Neurospora crassa OR74A: one gene and its partner. The protein of the gene in region 1 interacts with the protein of each later gene in a pairwise test. Links are inferred from orthologs where the notes say so. Each region holds a gene or a part of one and is shown on either strand. Other genes may lie near its edges.

Region 1 (2,900 bases):
TACCGCGTCGGGTGAAGAAGACGCATACCTCGACGAAAGCCCACAGCTTCGGCGGGTGCAGAAGCTTGAAAAGGCCAACAACCGACTTCACGAACTCCTTGATGATTCCTCCAAGAAAGTGTCGGCTTTGGAGAAGGCTCTTCGCACCGGTGAGCTGTCGCTTCGTGACATCCAGACCAGGTCTCATGAAGAAATCCTCGACTTGCTTAATAGCCAGGAGGACTCGCGACGGTCACTCTTGCACAGCCACAAGGATGCGGTTGCAGAGCTGACGGAACTCAAAGAGCACTATGACAAGGTACGACACGAGCGTGCCAAGCTTGAAGTCGATCTCCGCGACGCCAGGTCGGATCTCCAAGAGATGTCGCTCGCCAGGGATCAGGAGGCTGCAAGCCGGAGCCAACTACTCCAAGAGTTTGCGGACCTCCAGATTCGCCTGGATGCTGAGGCGTCCAAGCTGGCTGACGTAACAGCAAGCCTTAACCTCTATAAAGGTCGGGCGGATGAGTACTTCAGCAAACTTGAACAGGCAGAGATTGCCGTTCTCAAGGCCAACCGGGCGGAGGCGTTCGCTAGAGCGCAAGCCAAGGAAGCGGAGGACAGCTGTGCGGAGATGATGTCGGAGAGGAAGCGTCTGGATACAATGATTGAGGATCTGCAACACTCGAACCAAAGGTTGGAAGAGAAGATTGAAGACATGTCGACGGACCTTGCCGCCGTTACTCAGGCCAAGAAGAGGCTTCAGCACGAGCTCGAAGATTACCGCAACCAGCGTGCTAACGACATTGAGGATAAGGAATCGAGCATGGAGCAGATGCGCAAGAAGTACCAGGCCGAGTTTGCGACACTGGCCAACGAGCTCGATCGGGCCCGCGAGGAGAAGCTACGCAAGCAGTCGGAGATTACGAGACTCCGGGAAGAGCTGGACGAGCTTCGGTCCAAGTGGGATGACGAGGTCCTCAACAGCTCGACGTGGTCTAAGGAGAAGGCGCGGCTGGAGGCGACTCTCTCGGACGTGGTGGCCTCTCGCGACGAAGCTGTCAGCGCCCACAACGAGGCTCAAAGCAAGATTGTCACGCTCCTTGGCCAGGTACGGTCGCTCCGCTCGTCTCTTGACGAGATCACGGCTGAGCGCGACGCCCTATTCCGTGAGAAGAGGAGCATCGAGGCAAGGCTTGAAGAGGCCAAGGCTGGTCTCGATGAGCTGGCCAACAGCGAGAGCCCGTCGCTGCGCAACGCGGCGCACATGGACAGGGAGATCCTAGAGCTCAAGTCTAGCCTTGCTCAACAGGAAGACATCGCTGCGGCTGCCGTCGAGAAGATGCGGCGCGCCGAGGCGCTTGCTGCCGAAGTCCAGAAGGACATTGCTGCTGAGCGCGAGAACAATGCCGATTTGCAGAAGCAAAAGGTTACTCTCGAGAAGAACTTTAACGAGCTGCAGATGAAACTCATTGATCTTGAGACCAAGGGCTATTCCACTGCCAGCCACGACATCAAATTCTTGCACAGCCGCATCAAGGAGGTAAGTTTATACGGAGTAGTCCTTGCTTTCTTAGCATCAACAGCTAACTCATCATCACCAGCTTGAATCCCAGCTCGAAGAGCAAGAAAACGAGCGCAGCAAATCCCAGCGTTCCGTCCGCAACGTCGACCGCATCGTTAAAGACCTGCAGTCCCAGATCGACCGCAAGGACAAGCAGAACACGCAACTCCAAGAAGACGTGACGCGCATGCGTGACAAGGTTGACAAGTTGCTCAAGACCATTGACGAGCTGCAATCCTCGGAATCGGCCAATGAGCTGTCAGCCCGTCGCGCGGAGCGTGAGCTGCGCGAGGAAAAAGAAAAGGCCCTGAGGCTGGAGCGCGAGCTCGAAGGGTGGAAAAACCTCCGCATGGAGAAGGGCTCCGCTATGGGCGGCGGCGGCGGCGGCAGCGGCAGCGTGGCAGGAAGTGTGCTGGGTAGTATCCGGGGCAAGAGGACGTTCACAAATGATAATATGCAGATGGATGGTGTGATTGAGATTCCGAAGAGGAAGAGCAGCATTAGTAGGGCGCCGAGTCTGACGAAGGGGTTTATTTGAGCTTTGAGGTGTCTATAGGGATGAAGATGAAAACTTGTTGGTGGTGATGAGAAGAAAGTGCAAGGGGTGTAATTAAGTTGGTATGGTGGAGAGGGCAGTCTCTAGACATCTGGAATAATTCTGTTGGTTTACTTGTCCTGAAGAAAGCTGAGAAGCTGATGTTGTTTAAAGGCCGATCGTGTGTTAGGAAGGGGCTGAGAAGGGCGGAATTAGGTGGTTTCTCTCAAGACGTTTGTCGTACATATAGCTGTTTGCTAACTTTGTATGTTAGTTGGTGTATATGATGAAAGTATTGTGTGTTAGGTTGTGTAGTGAAGGGACTGTGCAAAGCTGCTATACTATCGTGAAAGTGCCGTTATGCGGTCGTTGCGAGTCTAAATGATGATGATGATGATGAATCAAAGCGGTAATCTGGAAGACGTCAAGCTCAAGGTACCCGCAGAAGTCACGAGGTCACGGCGATTCACTTTTTTCTTTTCTTTTTTTTTTTTTTTTCTTTTTTGCGCGCAGGAAGATATGACCGGGCTGTCAGAGGTTTTGCCAAATGCAGTTCGCAAGCGTAGCAGAGCGTGTGCGCAGTTGTTGGGCACCTTCAACCCTGCCGTTCGGAACCCTAGGTCACGATATGATATAAAGTGGTGTTGTTACAGAAACAAAGGGCATCGTGGAGAGTGTTGTGTGTTGGTGCATAGGATATCTGTGTACGTCTTGCTCAATCGTGACGGTATAGGGTATTGCTAAGTAACATATTCGAATCCTGAACGAAAGCTGGAATCGAGCTGGTTTGGAAGGAGGGAAGGGAACGTCGAGTTTTGCTTA
Region 2 (3,311 bases), on another chromosome or scaffold:
TCCACGATAGCCGCTCGACGTTCTCCTCTGCTGGGTATGCTGCCTTTCGGCCCTCATATCCCTCGGTTCTTTACGACCGGGTGTTGAGATTTCACGGCAAAGAGGCCCCTTCCTCCCCATCACCATCGTCGTCTTCGCCGGCAGCTGGAACACTGCTAGACCTTGGCTGCGGACATGGCTTAGTGGCGCGCGCACTCGCTCCCTATTTCAACCGTGTTATCGCCCTTGATCCTTCGGCCGGCATGATTGAACAGGCTCGCAAGCTAACCGGCGACAACTCCAAGATTACGTTCAAGCAAGGCGGAGCCGAGGACCTTTCTTTCCTTGACGACAATGCCGTTGACTGTGTGGTTGCTGGCCAAGCGGCGCATTGGTTTGACTACTCCAAGGTCTGGCCAGCACTTGCACGGGTCGTGAAGCGCGGCGGAACCCTGGCTTTCTGGGGTTACAAGGACCACATCATCGTTGGGCGGCCGGAAACAACGCCCATCTTTGACAGGTTCATCTACGGCGAGACAGAGCCGGTGCCGGGCGTGGAAAGCATGATGTGCTTTTGGGAACAACCCGGCCGGAACATATTACGGGATTCACTGCGGGAGGTGGTCCCTCCCGAGAGGGAATGGGAACATGTGGTCCGTATTGCTTGGGATCCCAATCGTGAGACGGGCGACATTAGCGATGCTCCGGAAGAGGCCACTTGGTTGCGTCGGAGGCTCAAGTTGGGCGAGTTGGCGAGCTATATTCGCACGTTCAGTGCCTTCAGTGGTTGGGGAAGCGCCCATCCCCAGATGAAGTGCAGGGCGGACGGAGGAGAGGGCGACATTGTTGACTTGATGTTTGACGAGGTTGTTGCTGCGGTGCCGGAATGGAAAGCGGCGGGGGATCGATGGGCCGAAATCGAGGTTGATGCTATTTGGGGAACCGTTTTGTTGATGGCGAAGAGACGATGAACTGGAAAGGTAGTGTACAATTAAGTGTGGTGAAGAGACGATACTGTACAGTGGTGGTGGCTGACGTTGAACCTGCTATCCGGGCAGTATCACCGGCCCCCTTGCGTAACCAAGGTGCTCTCTGTCAGTAGATGTCTCTCTCGATTGAGCTAGCGGGCATGCAGTGCTGCTGTATCGCGAGTTGTCACCAGTGCCAGTGGGTGGTTGCCCTCCATTGGCTGCCACCGCGACCGGGATGCGGGCGCATAAGGTCGGGTACTGCGTAATGGCACAGACCAGTCAGCGCAACTCCCTGTCCGCAGCTCATTTCGCGGCGGGAAGGGAAGCCCAAATCGATCGCCCACTCCTTTTGCATCTAGCCTTGGTTCGCTTCTTGACCGTTCTTCTGAATAGCATCATCTTTCGCATCGAATCCATCAGCCAGCGTACTTGCATCGACTAGCCCTTGCGTCCTCTTTTGCGCATTCAAACGACATTCCCCCCCCTGAGACACAATGGTAAGTGGACCTGTCCCTGTTCATCCGCCGCGGGCACTGGCACGCGCGCGCGCCCCTCTCCATCCCTCCATCCCAAGTCCCAACCCCGACGCACGGAAACAGAAAGCATGCGAAAGCAAGAGCCAGGAACCCCGCGGTTGCCCATGACAACAAAGGCACAAGGTGCCACAACCTTGGAAGCCGCAGCGTTCTGCGTTGAATCGGAGCACTACCTGTAAAATGCGCCTGCGCCTGCGCCCGGCTTGAGCGTTGAGCTGCCAGGTCCTGCTTCGGCATCCATCCATCACAGACCAAAAAAACACCATTCATTTTGCCAACTTTCGATCGCATCGCTGCTCCCTTGCCGCTTGGGTTTCTGCGCCTTGTTCTCGCAACCATCGCCCTCGTCCTCTCGATTGCCGACTCTAGCACGATCGCAAAGCCAGCGCTTTTGCTTACGCTCAACCTACCGCGATTTACTACATACCCGCATTCTTGAAAGAACATTTCATTGCGACAGCGCAACTCAGGAATCATGGCATCTAACCAGTTCGACGGTCAGGCTTCTACCAACTACAAGGAGGCGTTCTCCCTGTTCGACAAGCGCGGCAACGGCCGTGTTGCCCTCGACAGCTTGGGTGACCTGCTCCGCGCTTGCGGCCAGAACCCCACGCTCGCCGAGATCCGCGAGCTCGAGAAGAACGTTGGTGGTGATTGTGAGTAATACCCGAGCGGAAACAAGTAGTTCATCTGAGATTAGTTACTAACAGATGCCCTTCTCATCCGACAGTCGACTTCGAGACCTTCCAGCGCGTCCTCAACCGGCCAGGTGGCTTCCGTGATCCCGGCGAGCCCGAAGAGTACTGCCGCGGTTTCCAGGTGTTTGATAAGGACATGACGGGTTTCATCGGCGTTGGACAGCTCAAGTACATCTTGACAAACCTTGGCGAGAAGATGACGGACGAGGAGGTAGACGAGCTCCTCAAGGCCGTTGATACTAGCTCCGGCCAGGTGAACTATACCGGTATGTCAGCCTCAGCACTTGCTGTTTGCTTGCCCTTTGCGTGAAACCTAGGAGTCTCGACTAACAATATGTGTACGACGCAAACAGAGCTTGTCCGGACCATCCTTGCCAACTAAAATATTGAGTAGAGGTGGTACGGAATGATGACGAGGGAAACTGGGTTTGGAGGTCAAACATCATGGGGCATAGTCGAATAGAAATCGCGGGACAAATCCGTCCACGGAGAAGGCGTCATATACCATCTATTACAGGGAAATCGCATGTGTTATAATCCAGGCAGGCGTCGGAGTCTTGATAAGATATGAATTTGGACATATCATTTACCGGGAACTGAAAGGCTTTCCGGACGTGTGTCTTAACCAACTACGCTAGATTGGGTTCCACGCCTGATCTTTCTTCCGTCCCCTTCTCTTGCGTGACGGAGGCGTGTTTCCAAGTATACGTTGTTTGCCCAGTACTCAGCAGTACAATATTCGTCATGAATCCCTTTTCGCTCTACTCGAAAAAGGGCTCGACCCTGTCAGTTTGCTTCGGGTAAGGCAAATGACATGAAACATCACAAAGGATGAATATGAGAAAACAAGGCCCTGGAGTTTGTATAGTCACTGGAAACAAGGCCAAACACGTTTCCGTCTTCCTTCGAATTCGGGCTCAAAGGGGATGTGGGGATTCCGATGTCCCTTTTCCGGCCTTCAGTCTGGGTACGGTCAGGAAGTGGAAGCAAGGTGTATCACTTGGCGGTATCTTTGGAGATGTTAATTCCTGTGTTGGATGACCAGAGAGGGGGTAACCAGTACTCAAATACTGCATTATCTAAAGCATCTATGTAATGTTCCTGCAGTAGACTGGTAACTTACAATG

What was found.
Region 2: the proteins of myo2 (region 1) and NCU06617 interact in binary tests that used the Saccharomyces cerevisiae proteins (3 or more experiments, as listed by UniProt). The link is inferred for Neurospora crassa OR74A from reciprocal best matches to the Saccharomyces cerevisiae genes MYO1 and MLC1.

What each region holds. Positions count from the first base shown.
Region 1 is NC_026501.1:8,033,530-8,036,429, reverse strand, and holds the end of myo2 (myosin type-2 heavy chain 2), read left to right. Parts: coding exon 1-1,522; intron 1,523-1,583; coding exon 1,584-2,081; 3' UTR 2,082-2,390; downstream 2,391-2,900. UniProt on the Saccharomyces cerevisiae protein: Required for cell division.
Region 2 is NC_026504.1:1,814,913-1,818,223, forward strand, and holds NCU06617 (myosin regulatory light chain cdc4), read left to right. Parts: upstream 1-1,313; 5' UTR 1,314-1,444; coding exon 1,445-1,447; intron 1,448-1,988; coding exon 1,989-2,142; intron 2,143-2,216; coding exon 2,217-2,450; intron 2,451-2,537; coding exon 2,538-2,566; 3' UTR 2,567-2,811; downstream 2,812-3,311. Other genes in the region: NCU06616 (S-adenosylmethionine-dependent methyltransferase), read left to right, coding at 11-950. UniProt on the Saccharomyces cerevisiae protein: Essential light chain for the class II conventional myosin MYO1. Also acts as light chain for the class V unconventional myosin MYO2 and for IQG1.